3 linked regions of the Drosophila melanogaster genome follow. The protein of the gene in region 2 purifies or fractionates together with the protein of the main gene of each other region. This does not show direct contact. Each region holds a gene or a part of one and is shown on either strand. Other genes may lie near its edges.

What was found.
Region 1: the proteins of Rad60 (region 2) and SMC5 purify together in Drosophila melanogaster (affinity purification with western blotting, with the first as the bait; one study listed by BioGRID). This does not show direct contact.
Region 3: the proteins of Rad60 (region 2) and dgrn purify together in Drosophila melanogaster (affinity purification with western blotting, with the first as the bait; one study listed by BioGRID). This does not show direct contact.

Annotation. Positions count from the first base shown.
Region 1 is NT_037436.4:21,565,851-21,572,073, forward strand, and holds the start of SMC5 (structural maintenance of chromosomes 5), read left to right. Parts: upstream 1-3,401; 5' UTR 3,402-3,528; coding exon 3,529-3,602; intron 3,603-3,670; coding exon 3,671-4,043; intron 4,044-4,106; coding exon 4,107-4,285; intron 4,286-4,406; coding exon 4,407-4,653; intron 4,654-4,705; coding exon 4,706-4,804; intron 4,805-4,869; coding exon 4,870-5,157; intron 5,158-5,211; coding exon 5,212-5,313; intron 5,314-5,371; coding exon 5,372-5,580; intron 5,581-5,639; coding exon 5,640-5,803; intron 5,804-5,881; coding exon 5,882-6,211; intron 6,212-6,223. Other genes in the region: CG7634 (uncharacterized protein), read left to right, coding at 17-180, 238-417, 476-591, 656-749, 812-988, 1,044-1,333, 1,384-1,529, 1,594-1,877; CRIF (CR6-interacting factor), read right to left, coding at 2,285-2,983.
Region 2 is NT_033777.3:23,248,658-23,254,880, reverse strand, and holds Rad60 (Rad60), read left to right. Parts: upstream 1-3,403; 5' UTR 3,404-3,656; coding exon 3,657-3,714; intron 3,715-3,778; coding exon 3,779-4,281; intron 4,282-4,340; coding exon 4,341-4,454; intron 4,455-4,517; coding exon 4,518-4,624; intron 4,625-4,679; coding exon 4,680-4,858; intron 4,859-4,917; coding exon 4,918-5,140; intron 5,141-5,198; coding exon 5,199-5,289; 3' UTR 5,290-5,438; downstream 5,439-6,223. Other genes in the region: EloA (elongin A), read right to left, coding at 433-512, 572-863, 929-1,128, 1,186-1,280, 1,339-1,556, 1,612-1,989, 2,045-2,632, 2,924-3,004. UniProt on the Drosophila melanogaster protein: Required for repair of DNA double strand breaks which occur during replication or are induced by ionizing radiation (IR). Functions with dgrn and downstream of the SMC5-SMC6 complex to regulate strand break repair.
Region 3 is NT_033777.3:5,822,621-5,828,843, forward strand, and holds dgrn (degringolade), read left to right. Parts: upstream 1-1,994; 5' UTR 1,995-2,328; coding exon 2,329-2,355; intron 2,356-2,412; exon of another isoform or gene 2,413-2,415; coding exon 2,416-2,824; intron 2,825-2,878; coding exon 2,879-2,968; intron 2,969-3,184; coding exon 3,185-3,618; 3' UTR 3,619-3,956; downstream 3,957-6,223. Other genes in the region: Sec20 (secretory 20), read right to left, coding at 1,085-1,687, 1,741-1,821.

The sequences.
Region 1 (6,223 bases), on a different chromosome or scaffold from region 2:
TCGATTTCGGCCACAGGACTATTGAAAAACTTGCAACGCTATGATGCGCCTATTAATTTGGAGGTCTGCGATGCATTGTACGAACTAAATCAGCTTGAGAACGCCAAAGCCGAGCTCCACGACAATACCCGCCTCTTTACTGGAAACAAAACTAAAATGTTCGAGCAGCGACTGGTGGTGGTACGATGGTGTTTCGGGTTGAGTTTGGGTTTCTCCTGATTTCTGGGGTGCTTCCAGGTGGACGAGAACATTGAAGATGCCTGTGGCCCTTCGATGACTCAGTACATATCGGACAAGGAGAAACTCATAGTGCACTTGAAGGAGGTACAGAACAAGTACAAGCCCGATACCAGGCCGCTTTGGAAAATTCTGAAGGAACAGGAGAAATGCGATGTCCTGAGCATTCCCGAAATCGAAGTGGGTATTATTGGCAAATTTGCAAAATTACCCTTACTGTTATAGGCCGTCTTACTAGGAAGAAATGCTTTCCCCCCTTGAAATTGCGAGGCGAAGTCGTGCTTTCGACGTGTTTAACCAGATGTTCATAGATAGGTCTTGGCATGATGTCATATTTCTCAAGCACGTTCGAAAGTAAAACCATTTGTGAAACTATAAAACATTGATTATAGCATATGTACCTACATTTTTGCCTTAGAAATCCAAACCTTCTCTTGAATCAGTGTAAGAACTCCACTGAGTACTTACAAACGCTTTCTACAAAGAAATATGACGAGATCAAAAGCTTTCTGGTGAGTTTGAGTGGTGAACCCGAATTATGAGTACCCAAATTGTCCCTAATTGTTTATTTCAGAAAATTCTGGAAGCCCGTAGCCCCATGTACAATATCCGATACCAAAAGTTCACAAACAAGAAGTTGATGGATAAGTTTCGCCAGGAATATCTTTTTCGAGTTCAGTACCAAACAAGACGAAACATGATTTCCGCACTGCGTAGTATTCGGTACCTTCGAAAAACCAAGAGTCTAACAGTAAGAATTTTGAATGAATTCGAACAGAGATTGGTTAAATGATTAATGGTTTTAGAAACTCACCAGTTACGTGGAGGAAGTTATGGGAGATTACGTGGTGAAAAAAACCAACAGGATTATGCCCTGGAAATTCGAATTCATCAACGAGGTGTACAATATTTTGGCGCTTGCCTACGTAGATCAGTACACGCTTCCGAAGAACTTTCGCTTTTCGGAGAAGAACGCACTGCTTCGATTGCTTCGCTTTCCTATGGACAAGTCAAAGGAAGTGAAACACTTCGTATTTGGGGATCGAACTACGCACCAAGGCTCGGAAACAGTAGATCCGGCCTTGACAAAATCACGGTAACTCGCAGTCGAGATAAAAATTCTATTTTAATTTATTTTGTTTTCAGTCTAATGGGAAACCGACTCGAGAACCGTATGAATTTCGCAAAGTACCCTATAGAGAAGTCCTACCTACTTCACCAAATGGCAGAGATTCATCTTAAATCACACAGGTTTGACGAATGCTGTTTTAGTGCCCGAAAGTCTATTGAAGGTTTGGTCCATTAGTGCTATACTATTAAACGGTTATGGAAATACCTATATATCTATCTTTTTAGAGGCAAAAAAATGCAATAGCTACATTTGGCAGTTTCTGTGCTACCTACTGATAATAAAGGCGAATGCTGCACTCCACAAAGTCGAGCGAACCAGTGAAGCTCTAGATCTGGCACTAAAAATTTCCAAGGAATTGAAAGAAAAGCATATTCATAACTTCTTGACTGCCTGTATACACTGTAATGAGGAGGAATTCATCGTGAAGAAGCAGAGCATTTTTGCGAATAGCCGGCGCGAAAGCGAAAAATCGGTGTATAGTTCCCTGTCCGTGCGCCATAGCAATTAGAGCTTTGTATTATTTGTATAACCAAAAATATTGATTAATAAATTCTCAGTGCAATTATAATAGTGTAGTGACCTATTAGATACCTATACTCAAGTACCCCTGCGTATTTGGAATTTGCATTCTTATTATCAACTTGCAAGCTCCTTCATGGCTAGATCGACTCGGCTACTGATCCTCTTTTAAAAATAATGCTTGTGTAACGTATATATTACACAAACATCGGGCTTACTTTTCACTAGTCTAAGCAAATTCTTGTCTTAATTTATAAAAATATAAAATATTTTGCAACACTTTAAAATATTTTATGGGAGTACAGATAATAAGTGCTCTTCTTTTTGCAGTGTTTTTATTTTAGTGTAACATACAACAGTTCTTCGCTTAAATCGATGGTTTTGATACTACAAATATTACACTGATGCTTTCTCTACCAGCTTGGCCATCATCTTCTCCTCCTTGGCCTTTCGCTTGGCCTCCTTCTGCTTCTTCTTGTCCTCCTTCTCTTTTTGCTCTAGCATTTCCTTAAAGCGTTCGTCGCGTGTATCCACCTTGAACCCGAAGTGTCGGCGCACCTCCTCTACCAGGCGTTCCTTGCGTTGTATGGCTGCCGCTGCATCCGCCTCCCGCTTAGCGATCTTCGCGTGCAGGTCCGCCTTCCACTGTGTCAACTTCTCCATCTTCTTCGCAATGTCCTCTTCACGGGCATTTATCCTTGCCAGCTCCTCTGCCTTCTGCGCGCGGTTCTTCTCCAGCATTTTCAGGAGTGTTTCTAGTTGCATAACCTGCCTGCTGTCTTTCTCTCCGTGGGAATCGAAGCAAATCTTGGGATTCACATTGCTCTGGGCCCCATACCGGCCGAATGCCTGTCTCTGGTACTTCTCGGTCAAATGAATCCAGGAGTGAGGTTCCTGGTATGGCAATTTGTTAAGGAGCACATTTTTGTGTTGTGGTTGCAGGCCGGATCTGTCCACCGTCTGGGGATATGTTGGTTCCACATCCACGTCGCCGACCAAGGAAGCCGGCAGTTCCGCTTTCGCAGCGCTCGAGTACTGGGCGCACGAGCGGAGGGCAGGAAGTCTGGTGACAACGCTTATCTTGCCTACATTCATTTTGAATTGTATTGTCTAAGCAAAATAGTTTATTAATTTCCAATAGAGATGAGAGAAAATCGATAGCGATGACACCAATGCTGGCAACTAAACCCTTTTGGAGCTAAATTCAGATATTTTTTAGGCCCCGTCAGAAAGATAAGTAATAGATATTAATTGTTGTGACAGTCTGGCTGCATCCCAGCTCAAGCTCTATATATTTCTTTTTTCCTTGCTATTTATTTCTATCAATTTGTAATTATCGTTTCCACGATTTGTTACTGACATTTTACTTGTCAGTTTTTATTCCGAAAATAGATTTCTGAGGCTTAAAATTATCATTTTTATGTTGTCAGCTCAAAATATAAAAGAAACATAAATTGATTATACATACGGGCGGCGCACAAGTGTACCCTTAATATACCAATCGTTATCGACAACAATGGTACGTGCACATATGCCCTAATGCAAAACTAAATTCTTGAAAGCGCGGAATTGCATTTAAAACAACTCGTTTTACTTAAGTTGAAATAAGCATTTGCTCGGATAAAAGCCTACGCCACGACATGGCGGGGGATCGTGCCTTAAGTTCCAAGCAATTGGCGGGGCGCATACATTCCGTGTACTGCAAAGATTTCGTGTAGGTTTATTTCCATCAAAGGCGCAAATTGACAATTTCGCGGCTCATTTGATTATTTCCAACAACAGATCCTACAGCGAGATCACATTCCATCCGAAGCACTACCTGAACGTTCTGACCGGTCCCAATGGCAGTGGCAAGTCCACCATCGTGTCGGCCATAATTTTGGGCCTCGGAGGGGAACCGATTCTCCTTGATCGCTCCGCCAGCGTTGCCGACTACATACAGAGCAACAAAACCTCGGCCACCATAATTGTCCGGGTGTATGGACGCACGCCCAACACCACGGAAACCTTTCGGCGCATAATAAACTCTAATGGCTTGTCTACCTTCTCTGTGAACGACAAAGACACCTCCAAGAAGAACTTTTTGGCTGCTGTATCCTCCTTTAACATACAAGTCAGCAATTTGTGTCAGTTCCTCCCGCAGGATCGGGTTCAGGTATGTCGTTATGTTGGCAATTCATAAATTACACACCTATTTATTGTAAACATACTGTTTCAGGACTTCTCCAAGATGAATCCTCAAGAGCTTTTGCTCAACACAATGTCCTCCGTGTGTGACGAAGACCTGATCAACAGCTTCAACAGTCTAAAGCAAATGCGCACAGAACAGGCGAATGTCCATGCTAATCGGGAAAAAGAGAAAAGTGATCTGGTTAAGAAGCAAAAACGATTGGAACAGTAAGATATAGTTACCCGAGCTTATTTTTATTCACTAAGTAAAATGTAACCAAATGTGTGGATGAAGTACAAAATTTTAATTCTTACTAAAAACCTAATTGTCTTAATATCATTTTATTAGCTTACAAATGACTGTGTCCCAATATAAAGAACGCGAAGAGGTCAAGCAAAAGCTGCAGGTGTACAGTGCGAAGAAATTGTGGGTTGAGACTCAGGCTGGAGAAGCCAAGGCCGCAGAAATGAAAACTCAAGTGAAAAACGCAAAAACTCAGAGCGACAAATTGAAGAACCAACATGACAAACTTCTTCAATCCCAAGAACAAATTGAGAAGGAAAAAGAATCACTCAGAAAGGCCTTATTGGAAAAGGTAATGGGTGGCAGTGTTTTTTAATATATTTTTTAAAAATAAGTTTTTTTAGACACGCTTATTAGAAAACGCTGTAGCGGAGAAGGCGGCTATTGATGGTAAAATGGACTCTTTGAAGCAAGGAATTTACCAAAAAAAATATGAACTGGAGGTTGGTGTTCTTGTTGCATATATCGATCATGTGAATAACTCTTAATCTTACATTCTGTCACATAGCAAAACATTAAAAAATCACGAAGAACGGCCACAGAGTGTGATAACCTAAATCAGTTGGTGGAGAATAAAATTTACGAGCTTGAAACCCTAAATAAGAGCAGGCCTCTGATCGTTTCGGAACTTGAAAGGGCTAAGGAATCGTGCGCAGCTGCCCGCGGGAAAGCAATGGAGCAGTACAGCAGACGGAGACAACTGGAACAAAAACTGAATGATGAAATGATTCCTGAAATTACTGCGTATAAACTTAAAATAGAGCGGTTGAGAAACGTCAAAATGCAAAAGATTGATGTAAGTTCTTACTGAAATAATGAAAACTCAACTTAACGCTACCTTTCATTTTAGGAAATTAGAGCAAAAAATCCGAATTTGGTTGTGGCCATGAACTGGTTGGCGCAAAATAAGCAAAGGTACAAATTGAACGTTTATGACCCAATGATACTTGAGGTGAGCTTTTCAAAATGAAGCCATTACCAATGGCCTAATGTTAAAACCGCTATCATAGCTTACAGTACAAAATCATGAGGACGCAAAGTTTTTGGAAAACGTTGTGGCGCAGCGCGATTTATTTGCATTTGCGTGTGAGGACAAGGGGGATATGTCGGACCTGATCAACGAGTTGTGTGTGAAGCAAAAATTGGGAGTTAACGTTATTTACTGCGCACCATCCGATAGACTCGTGTACAGTCCCAAAACTCCCATCGATGATCTGCGGTATGCACTTGTCAATTGTCCAATACTAGTCCAATACCTAGTTTTAAATACTTTTACAGCTCTTTCGGATTTCGGTCATACCTCGTGGATCTTGTCACGGGACCAATACCACTAATAAACAAGCTGTGCGCTTCCTATTCCATTCATAATATACCAATTGGCACAGAAGCTGTGGGCAATTACACTTCATCCATTCCAAAAGCTATCCGAGTTTATTTCGGCGGTGTGTATATTTTTCTTATTCGGTTTCGCTTCGCAAATGTATAAATTCTGATTTTGAATTCCGTACTGTGCATTTTAGGCAGCAAGAAGTTCGTTGTGACCGCATCCCGCTATCGGTCGGATACTATTCTAACTGAAAGTAGCATTCGAGCGAAGAACCAACTTATTACAGTGGACTCACAACAACTGGCCCTGGTGATGAAACAGTGCTCCGAAGCAGTGAAGGAAAGCGACAGCATTAAAAACGCAATAACCCAGACCGACAATGAATTTGAACGATTGCAAGCTGTTGCAAAGGATGAGCAAGAGAAGAGACGAAAGCTTGACCAAAAAATAGCCCATTTTAATAGCCTGAAAACCGAAATTGAAACGCTCCAAAAGAAGCTGGAAGCCCTGCGCAATAGCGATTGTAAGTATTTCT
Region 2 (6,223 bases):
GGAGTGATCAGCCTTCTGATCGTAAGTTACATGCAATCAATGAATTGAACAACTATAATCAAATATCATAACTTATGTAAATGAGCTTGTCTACGACCCAGCGGGATGCAACAAAAGCTTTATCTTTATCCGGTTGGCTTAAATATAGTGACTTATACAGCGTAATAAAAGAGGGCAGAACATGAATAAATAATAAATAGCATGCATATGCTACGCATGCCGACAGCAGCAGTCTGATTCCACAGCGCACTGGGAAGTAGAAGGTCTAGTATCACAATGTCACTTTATTCAGACCTGAAAGTCTTTGCCAATAAAGTTGGAAGGTAATCCCACCGTGAATGCCTAATAGATCGAGGTTGCTGCTACTGCTGCTGCTTAAGTTGTCGCTGAAGAAGTTGAGTATAAGATTGTAGCTATAATGAGTAAGCGCATCTATCGTTTGAGACGTCCGCGCATAAACTGCAAGGTCTTCGCCATTAGAGGTGCCTTCTTCGATCGCGCTGGTCCAGCCCCTTTTCAATAAAAATTATAGGTAAATTTAATTCTTAACCACAATCATTACAATACTTACCCACTTGGGCCGTGTCCCTGGCAGCGGCCAGCACACGTAGTCGGGCATCGCCCACCTTGGCTGCATTTGGAGTCACGCTGGACAAGGCGGCCACTCGGGCGGCTGGAGTGGCAATTAGCTTGCCCTTGGTGCCATATTGCTCTTGCTTGCGCTGCACACTACGCGGCGGCTTCACCATTGAGTCCACAAAGGCCAATTGCGTCTTGCGCACAGGCGCCTCGCTTATCTTTTGCGATGCCTTGATGCTCTCGGCCAGAATGCTAAGTTTGCGATCCTTTTCCTCTTGGCAGCGCTAGAACGAAATTTTTGTGTCAGCTTAGTTTAGTTTGCATTAATTTAGGGTCTTTGCGTCCCTACCAAAAACATTTCGCGCCACGTTTCCATCTCTTCACGCCGCTGACTGCGACAGTGACGTTGGACATGCTGTTGCCATAGGACATCACTGTCATCCATTAAATAAGGATTGTACTCCTCAAAGTTAAGCAGCTGCTGGGGGGTAGCTCGCTCCAAAACGGGACGTAGGACCTCAAACGGAACGCCACCCGTATACTCCAATGCTGAAAAACAATTAAGATGGTTATTTACATTCGATATGACCATTAGTAAGATCTTACCATCAATATTCTTTTGCAGCACGCGGGTGCAGAGATCAAAAAGGGAAGGGACCTGCAGGATTTGACCAGTTCTCACACCCGAATAGATCTTGGTGCTACAAAGTATAAAAAGTTGATATACTTTGTGCATCACATTATAATATCCTAGCTCACCGCATAGTTTTGGAAGAGATGCCCTGCGCTAGAGCTTCTGACTCATTAAAGTATCGTGATGCTTGCGCCTTGTGTGAGCCACCCTGGTTAAAGACGACGTCCATAACTGTCTGATTTAATGGCATGGGCTTGTAGTTATTGGATATGGTGGGAAGTTCTAGTGCAATGTTTGGATCCAAGGGCTCCAGCTTAGCTGTGGATGCCAACAGTTCGGGTTTCTAAAGAATAAACATATGTTACCACAACTTATAAAAATGAATTTCTACTAATTACTTTGGAGGTCGGTCGACTGCTAGTTGAGAGTGCCTCTTTAGATGACCCAGCAGTCGTAGGTGCTGATAGAGCTGACGAGGAAGGGGCTGCAGTTGGCTTGGCGACAAACTTGCTCTTGCTGTTGCTGCTGCTCTTCTTGCTACTTATGGGTATGTTTAGCAGACCAAGAACATCGTCAAAATTTGCGCCCATGCTGGAGTCAAAACCATCAGCGGAATCTTCCTCAGATTTCGATTTAACTTTTGGTATCTTTGCTTTTTGGGACTCCTCCTCGTGGCGTGGGGGACTATGGGAGCGCTTTGATGACTTGGAGGACGATGATTTGTGTTTGCTCGACTTGTCTTTGACTTCCTTTAATTCACTGTGAGAAGTTTTGTCCTGAAAAAAAAATGCATAAGAACAATAACCACTTTTGATCAAGAGGAAAGCATACCTTTTCGTGCTTGCTTTTGGTGTGTTCGCTCTTGTGGCTCTCGGATTTGCTGCTCTTGTGACTGCTGCTGGATTTGCTGGAATCCTTTGACTTGTGCTCGCCATTTGACTTCTTTTCTTTGTGCTCCTTAGCTTCCTTCTGACCCTCCCGATCTTTATCTCTATCCTTGGATTTATCGTGGCGAGAGCTCTTGTGCTTCTTATCCGAGTCAGACCTACTCTTGGAGTGAGATCGGCTGCTGCTGCTACGCTCATGCTTGGTGCTCTTGGCATGCTTTGACTTGTGCTTGCTGGTGTTCAAGTCCTCGCCGCTGGATGAGTTGCCGCCCTTGTTCTCCTGGTCGGGATCCTCGTCGCTGGACTTGGTCTTGCCCGAGTCCTCTTCGTTATGTATGGCTGTAGGCGTAGATGCGATCGAAGGGTCCTCCTTCGCCACCATTGCCTTCCACTTGGTTACCAGCGTCTTGGCCGCCACGCCAACTTCCCCGCTGATCTTGCGCAGGGCATTCACCGTCTTGCCAATTCCCGTTTCCTGCAGGTGCTCGAATTTGATCGGCAGGTTGAACAGCTTGGTGATGCAGTGCAGCAGCTGCTCGACGGGAGAGCAGGTAGCGAAAGAGGTGATTAAGAAAGATTAGCAAAAGACCGTGTGAGTGAAAGGTCAGCGGAAAAGAAGAGCGACTTAAAGTCGAGAAAAGTGACCTTGGCGGAGGTACATATGTTTGCGAATTTCACAAGGTTAAGTAAGGGAAAGCCAGCCAGGTCAGGTACATAGGGGTGATTAAATGGTTAGGAAAATGGGGGACTTGAATGATAGGAAGGCAGTAAGCAGTGGATCAAAAGGGATGCGATGGCGGTGCCAATGAGGGTAATAGCTCACCCGTTGTTCGTCCTCGCCGTGCTTCTCAATGCTGCGCTGGTAGTGGCGCACCACGTCCAGCAGATTGCTGGTGGAGGCCATCGCGTCGTCTCAAAGTATTCCACGCAAAATGAAATGAAAAAAATGGCACGCAGGCAGACTTTGTCGTCTCTTCCCGTTTTCTTTTTCTCACTTTCAGTTTACTGATTTTTTTTTAGGGAATCCAGGTAAACACACACGCACCCAAGGGCAAACACACGCACACGCACAAGTGCACACACACACGCGGAAAAGCCTCTGGTCGCGAGGCTCTAAGTTATTTTCAATAGCATTACGGGCCTTTATTATAATACATTCGATTTTTGCTTTTGCCAGGCCAGCAGCGTTGGAAACTAAATGAGATTTGCTTTTGACGGCGTGGCGCTTGTCAACACTGGCCAAACAGCTGTCGGCCAGAGTTGCTCTACGTCACAGTAGGCTTGTACAAACATTTAGTGAATTCAATCGTGATAATACAAATAATTAACATGTCCAAATCATCGATACACACATTAAATAAAATCGAATTGTAAATTACATTTGACTACCAGCAAATACTTTGATCGTGGTCTCGTGTCGTGTGGCTACCCTGGTCACAGTAGTTATCGGATATCGATTTTCCTTGCAACCACTGTGGCGTCTATTTGGTTTTGTGTTTGTGTTTATTGTTTGGCGCCGTTATTGGTTTATTACTGACTGTTACTGAGTGCCCACGATGTCCGACGACGACTGCGATATATTCAGTGCTGCTCGCAAGCGGATTCCCGAAATAGGTTAGCTTTAAACTGCAGAAATCCAAGTTTTTCCACATACCTTCGCTTTTGTCGTCTTTATCAGCTTTGCCCAAGAATCCTTACAATCTTGGCAATGATTCCTTCTCCAAGGAGGTGGACTACGATTTCATTGAAGACCTCCCCAAGAAATCAACTAAAACTGGCAAACGAAAGAACCCTGCAGCGACGCGGAAAAATCCACCCAAAAGTCAGGATGATGCTTCGCCACCAAAACAGGCAGAACATAAGGCTGTGGAGCCAGAAGAGGATATGAGAACAGAGCGCTCCCTATCACCGGTATCCCTGTTGATATTGGAGATGGAAAAGAAAAATGGCCAGCAATCGGATGTGGAGAAGCACGCCAAAGAAAATGACGTTGGTCCTGTGGCCAGACGCACACGGTCATCGTTAAATAGGTCAGAAATGGCGCCACCACCTGTTTCACCGACTGTGGAGGTGCCCACACAGACGAAACCAAAGAAGCGCGGCCAAAAAAAGAGAACATCTCTAACAACCACAACCAGCAACTCTGCTTCGATGGAGGTCTCATTGCCAAGCATTGTAGGTGTATGTTTGAAATTTCGAATAGAGATCTTGGGTATTTTCTAATCTCTTCATATTTGTAGCAGAACAATGAGCACATTAGCAGACGGTGGACGTTGGCCGAAGTTGCAGCCCGTTCCAAAGTGGTGGACAGTATTGATCTGGTATCTGCGGTCGCTCCCCGAGTGGAGGGATTTGTAAGTCCCTAGAAAGAAGTTGTACTATTCAATAAGGCTAATATTATACTTATTTCTTCACAGGTTAATCTAGACTCTGAAGACGAGGGTGAAAAGGAGGCTCCTCCTGTCGTAGAGGAAGAAAATATTTTTGATAACGATAATCCCACAATAGAAGTAGCTTTGTCGTGGTAAGTTTTAATATATTTATCCTTTTTCGTGATTAATATAAATATTTTTATGCAGGCTTGGCGAGATCCAGATTTATAAATTGCGGCAGCACCAAAAGTTTAAGCATCTGTTCAAGGAGTTAGCATCACGCAATGGGATAGATGAGAATGATATAACGGTGGATATGTACTATAACTTCGTTGGACCTGAGGATACGCCGCACAGCATTGGTCTCAAATCATTTCATACGCTCAGTAGGTGTCCTCTATTCAGATATATATTATTATTTGAAAATTTCTCAACTATTTAACAGCTGGCCATCCAACAAAGAGTCACAATAATAACAACGTGGCTGCTAAAATTGACTACAATCCAGAAGCTCTTTGCCGGAAACCTAAGAAGTTTCAAGTTAAAGTACAGGCGGATAAATGGAAGCATCCTTTGGTGATACCCATGAAGAAAACTGATAATTTCAAAATCATATTTATTAAGTGTGCTGAGGAGTTGAACTGTGATCCCCGAACCATTAAATTGTTGTAAGTACTAAAAGCTGGAAAAAGTAGAGACAATCCACTGAATTTGAGGTGATTTCAGTTTTGACGGTGACTTGTTGGATCCAAATGATACGCCCAATAACCAGGATATGGAGGGCAACGAAGTTATAGATCTTAAAATAAAGGCTTAAATTTTGAGCAAATTTATCTATTCTAGCCGAAAAATATTTTTAAAAGAAATTATATTAATGTTTTGTTTACGATTAGTTAATTGCTGTGCAAGATTTATTTTATTATCAAATGTTTCTATGTATGATTGAATATTTCTAATTTTCTTTGTACTTTTATTTGTTTCATTTGGGATGATTTAAGGAATATATTATTTGTTTTTCTACATTGCAGTCACAAAATTCCATTACATTGCGTACAAAAACAACAAAAGCGTATTCGCACTTCGACTAGATTTCAGCAATTTGTCACCAAGTGGAGCAGCGGGCAACTTCCAAAAAACCCTCAAGCATTCATTATACACCCCTAATATTTTGTTTATCTAGCATATAGCGCACTCACACAGAGCTGGAAACAGATCCCAAATGGTTGTTTATATTGGCAGGAGGAGAGCGGATGCTGCTGAGGGGGATGGTTTGTGGTGGGTTCAGTAGTTGCCTCCTTCCACCGGCTTTGCTCTCTCTCTCTCTCGCTCTCTCGTTGCTCTCTGTTCCTTATTCTTGTGCGGCTTTCCTTGGAATTTCACTGCACAAATTCTGACACACGCAGGATAATAATCTCTCTCAACTGAGAGCAACTGAGAGAGGAAAGCTCTAATGGGAAAAGCTCTCGCCAGCTGAAGGGAATTTCCTCATTTCGCTTACTTTTCAATCAGAAAGAGTTTATCCTTCGTGCTTGATGGACGCAACATTTAATTCGCGCTTTTTCTGTAAAACAAAGAAAACCAAAAAAGTAATTTTCAATCGCATGAAACTCATTGTTATTGAACTCCGTTTGTTTTCCAATTTGTTTAACCCCAATTCCGACGCTCGTTGTGTGTTTTTGTAACGAATGCAGTGAATATCAAGTGAAACGTACAACCAACTTGTGCACATATATATTATATGTGGTAACCAA
Region 3 (6,223 bases), about 17 Mb from region 2:
CGTGTTGTGCTAGAAGACGATTTTCGGGCCGAAATCAATTCTGATCGAAGAAACGAATTTACATGGTACATATTAGGGTAGTTTTTGCCAATTTCCTAGCAATATGATAAAATAAAAAATTTTTAAAAATTCGCGCCCTGGCTATTATAATTTTAAAGCTTTTTTAAATTTCTTTGTTAAAATCGCCGCTCGAATTAGCTACCGTTTACACATTTGTATTTATGTTTAATTCTAATTTGTCTCTCATCTGACAATTTTTTAAAACCGAAATATTTTTTTTGAAACACTTTTAATGTTAATGTTACATCATATTAAGTCAAATGATTTAATAAATATACTAAATAATTAAATATGCAATTAAATTAAATTGCAAAAGTAATATCAAAGACAATAGAATTATTCTAGTGTCTTTGCTTTGTTCATATCTTGAGGCACGAAGTGCGGACACAAGCACTCAACAATCATTGCCTTATTAATTTTTCACACGCCGCAAGATGAATACTCTAATGACAAATATTCTTATATAAATTCATTTTTGAAATTTATTTTTGTGATAATATGTACATAGATTTGACTATTTCTAATCTATTTTCAAATAATAATAACGTTAAGGCAATGCAAAACAAGAATTTTTCGCATGGTGCCAATTGATAAAAAATAATATAGATTTAAAGCCAAAGAACTTCTAAGGTGAAGGGCATATTTTGTCAAATTTACAATGCATGTGAATACGTGTGCACACATACAGATGTCTGCTATCACTTTGTGCGTTGAAAAGAGCTGTTCGCTGTAGCGCTCTTCGCTCTCTCGCTCTCTAACAAAAATTCGAGAGAGCCTGGAGCCACCTCTAGAGCCACGGCCAAAAAATCGTGTGCCAAAAAATCGTATGGCGTTACGCATCTTGTTATTCTAGGGTCTTTGGCTGTACCACGTTTACAACTTAGGCAAATCACTAAATAATATAAATATAGGAGCTGTGCTTACAAGGTATGGTCATGTGCTAAGCTTAATCTAGCTATACCTAGACAACAGAAGCGACAACCTTAAGCTATTTTGGGAACGGGTTTTGTCCATTTGTGGAGTCTTAGAAGAGTCGCTTTTGGACGATGTAAAAGACACAGGCGAGGAACAAGGAGAAGGCGAAGAAGAGCAGCATTTTGTCAGTGCACTCGCGTCGTCCGTACTTTTTGAGCAGCTTGCCGGACATGCTAATGCTGCCGGCCGTGTGGTGCAGTTCGTCGCTGGTGGCCTCCACATTTTGCGACGAGGCCACGAGCGTTTCCAGGGTGATGGCGCTCTTCTGGGTGGTCTCCGAGAGGTGCCGCGATATAGCCAGCATCTTCTCGGTCACGTCGTTCTCCTGCGAAACCAGACTGCCCTGGTTGTGCCGCGCCCGTGTTGTGGTTCGTTGGCGTAGCTCACTCTCGCCGGTAATGGCCATTAACTCCTCCCGATTGGCCTTCTCGATCTCCAGCATCGTGGACACGTTTGCTTTTCGGAACGCCTGCAGCGTTTTGGAGAACTGATCACGGTGGTCGTCCACTTCATTGGCCAGCGCAGAGTCTGCCGTGTCCCGCGCCCAGTCGTCCAGCCGCTCGATGCTTTTGCGGATAGCAGACAGTTTGGAGCGGCCCGCTTCGTTCAGCTCCTCGAGTTCGGCGATGGAGGTGCGGCTGTTCAGGATGTCCTAAAAACAGAAGCTCGGTAATGAGGGTTTCTCTTCAGATAGCGGAGACTTACGTGTATTATTGCCTTAGCCTGCAGATTGTTATCGATAAGGTCCTGCCGTATGGCCTGTAATGTAAACGCATCCTTGTCCATGTCTCCAACTTTGTTTTGTTTCGAAAATATTCTATTATTCTGCTTTGGTGACGTGCATTTAACGTTAATTCCCGCAATTTTCTAACACTACCACGGCACGGTATATATCGATGGCATTTAATCGCCTAAAAAATATCGTTTACATAGTGATGGTATGGTTTTGTAATGTCGACATATTTATATACATTTCTTATAATTATTTTGTTATCAAAGAATTTCGCCGAAACGGAAATTTTATTTTTAATAAATTATTGATTTTTATTGAATTACAAGTGTCATTCTAAACAGCATTGTATAATACCGCAAAAATCGATAGTCGATCTTAAATCCTTGTTCCCGAATGTCCGTAAAGTGTCATCTTTAAAATAACCGAATGGTCGCGTGAAAGGAGGAAACTATTTTGCACATTTCAATCTGCACTAAAGCACATGTATATCTGGGTTCACCTGCTTTTGTCTTTACTACGAAATCATTTCACAAGTTTCCTGGTCATTTGTTGCTCGAACAATGTCAGATTCGACTATTTTCCGTTTTGTAAGTATACCCTGGACTTTAAACTAGTTAATTCCGATTTATGATTGATTTATTTAGTAGAACTCATCCATTCTTGATCAGTCAGCGGACAGCAACGTATCCAGTTCGAGCTCCAATTCCAGTGTATCCGACTCTTCTGTGGACTCCCATTCATCCATAGAATCCAATTCGGGACACAATACATCCGTGGAATCTCAGTCATCCGCGGAATCTGATTCATCCGCTGATTCCCATTCGTCCTTGGAACGCCCATCCCCAGTGGAGCGTGATTTATCTGTGGAATCAGACTCATCTTCAGCCACCAATACCAGCGAATCTTCAGTCGGAGAAGCTTCAAACCAACTGCAGTCACCGCAAAGCAATAACCCCTTAAATATGGCTAACTTGTCTGTCTCGACTGAAGATGCTCATTCGCAGATCAGATCACTTACCCAGGATGTGATCCAGATGGAAGCAGAGTTGGATCGCAGTATGTCACTCCATAATCATTACGAAGTTTTCTGTTAATTGTTTCATATTTCAGTGAATCGCTACTGCGAGGAAGTTGTGGCACAGATTGACACCTTCGCCACGAGAACCTCAACGCCAACAACTCGTAGAATTCGCCGCAGAAGTAAGTGCAGATCAAAATGAACGCATCTGGGTTTCACAATGAACAATGTTTTTAATTCCACAATAACCAATGACATAGTTCTTTCTATAACCCTGCCGGGTTACTTACTTTTGAAGGCAAAATTTATCTATATTTTTTAAAATTTTGTGAAAACCAGATAGCTTTCGCGGATAGAGCTAGCAATAAACCGAATACCGTTTCTTACTTTTTCCGTAGCGAGTCCAGTAGAAGTGATAGATCTGTCCCATTTGGACCGTGCACCACCTGTTCGATCCGCTCGGAATCGTGATCCCGATGCTTTCATCGATCTATGCACCCCCGAAGGCCCAAGAAGTCGCACAGTGAATCTTCACTCCAACGACTCCCTCACCATTCTGCCACGTCGGTCAGCCGAAAATGACCCGGTAGTGGATCTCGACGTTGCGTCGCCACCAAAACGCGTTAATCGCGACATTGATGAGTCCCAAAAAGAGGAGTTATACAAGTGCCCCATCTGCATGGACAGTGTATCGAAGCGCGAGCCAGTGTCAACCAAATGTGGACACGTCTTCTGCCGCGAATGCATCGAAACAGCCATCAGAGCTACGCACAAGTGCCCAATATGCAACAAGAAGCTGACCGCACGTCAATTCTTTCGCATTTACTTGTAAGTTGCTTATACTATTTCACATTTTTTGCTCTGTGAGCCTTAATATAATATAGTTTAAAAAAAAACGCTTAACTATGTTAGAGACGGCAAATAATGTCTGTTCTTGTGATTCAGAAAAAATTAGTTATTTAAGTTGTCCTATGTAATCAGTGGCGCCCAAAAATATTTGAATACAACTATAAAAACTAAAGACTTCACTTTTGATGTATGAAACCATCTCAGGCTAGAATAATATAAGAACGACCGAAAGGAGTGTCAAAGTATTATGTAGGCATTTTTCCAAACGCAATTTAACAATGTAACATACATATAATATAATAAATAAAATGGTCCCAACGCATATCAACAGGTTTGTCTCAATCTCATTTTTTATTGTTGGCTACTATTTTTTGAGACAGAAGTCAGACATGGAATTCTGAGATCATTAAAGGGTCGATAAAACAGGATAAATTGGAAACAGGTGGAACATGAAGTGTCTTTAAAGAGACTTTTTCCCTCCAATTTTGTATATATATAACAATATATTTTTTTTTTTTTAAACTTCATTCTATTTATTTTGGTTCCAAAAGGAATCGTTCGGTCAATTCCTCTGAACTTAACCTTATGTGTGTATAAAGGTATATTAGACCAAGTGGTTTCTTAATTATTAAGTACAAAAGGGAAAATGTATCTAGTTATTAATTACTTATTGTGTAAGGGTGTAGGGAGATCGGTGGGGTGTACCCTCTTCAGCCTTCGGAGGGAGATGGGATTAGATAGGCTATTTGCTAGTCGGTTCGGGTGGACCATAAGCCTGTCGGCATAACGGCTGCTGTGAAAATTAATCTGATCCCCAAGAGGGGTAACTTTCAGATCTCTTTCGATTACCTTGTTTGTCACGTACCAGGGGAGCCCAAAAGCACGACGTGCAGCTCTCGACTAGACGACACGGAGCCTATTGAGCTGGGATTTGGCGGCAGTTCCCCACACCTGGATGGCATAACTCCACGTTGGAGCAAGTATGGCTTTGATTAAAAGAGCCTTAGAGCTCACTTGTAGTTTGCTGGAGTGGAAGAGCCAGTCGAGCTTTTTTAGCTTCGCCAGTGACTAAAATTTGACCGACGTGATGTGGGCCCTCCAGGTCAGTCTCCGATCTAGATGAACTCCTAGGTAGTGCGATGTGACATTGATGATGGAGTTTCCATCAAAAAGTTCCGGGCCACAGGGTAAAAGTTCGCAGGCTGACTTCGAGGAGTTAATGGCCACATTCCATTTGGCAGTCCATTTTTCGACTACATACAGCCATTCCTGGACTGCGTTGGAGGCAGTTTACAGTACAGGATGAGACGCCAGCATGGCGGTGTCATCGTGGCCAGGAGCAGCTGATCCGGGGAGACTTCGGTGTTGTTGGCGGGAGATGGCAGGTCGGCAGTGTACAGGGTGTACAGGAAGGGCCCAAGAACACTTCCCTGTGGAACTCCTGCGTGAATCTCTTCCAGGCTGGACCGAGCATCACGCACTGCAAGGTCGAAGGTCCGATGAGAGATGAACGATCTCAGGATGGCATAGTAGGGAGCAGGAAGGAGAGCTTTCATCTTGTATAGAAGTCCTTCATGCCACACCCTGTCAAACGCTTGCTTCACGTCTAGAAAGACGCCGACCGTGTAGAGTTTGTGCTCGAAGCCATGCGTCACCTGGTTTAACAGTCGATGTATTTGTTCAGGGCAGCCGTGGAACTTCCTGAAGCCAAATTGGTGTCGAGGTATGTGGTTCACTACTTGCGGCAGTTCCATCAGGCGGGCTAAGAGTATTCTCTCAAAAATCGTGGAGAAAGTTTATAGCAAGCTGACTTGGCGATATGCATCGATCTTCGTTGGCGGCTTTCCGGCTTTAGGTATCATTATGATACGTGCACGCTTCCATTACCTTGGAAAGTGCCCTAGCCTTAGGATGACATTAAATATTTTTACTAAGGCTAGAGCTCCTTTGCGTGGCAGAGACTTCGCAGCACGGTTGTCGATGCCATCCTAACCAGGGGTTTTCTCGATTTCTTGATTTGTAGCGCCTTCAGCTGCATCATGACTTCCGGCGGTGGGGTATGCCTAATGGGGCGAGCCGGTGCAGTCGGAGTGTCCAGAAAATTATTGATGGCTACGCGGTTTGAGTCGTCTGTTAGGTTGAAGGGCATGAAGGTGGAGGTCAGGTGCGAAGCAAATGTCCTCGCTTATTCATCGTCCGTCTTAAGCCAGAGGCCACTGTGACTCTGGACGGGAGATTGAAACAACGGCTGTCTCTTGATACCTCTTGTGAGCCTCCATAATGAAAAATTGCTGTTGTTATCTGGGCCAGTACCCTCCAGCAGGGTATCCAGATTTTCTCGTCGTGTCCTGGCTAGCAAACGCTGCAGTTTGTTAGTGGTGCTAGAGTATAGCTGCTTAATGCTAGGATCTCCTGTTGCGATGTACCGTCTCCTGAGGCGCCTTTTGTGGGAGAGCAGCTCCCTCCTTGCGGTCGTGTGACGAGCTTGATGTGGGGGAGGTGTGGCCCTCTGTGCTGCTTCCGCGATTGTGGCTGCGAGGTAATGTACGTACGCTTCCAGACTATTGCAGGTGTCTATGGGGATTGAG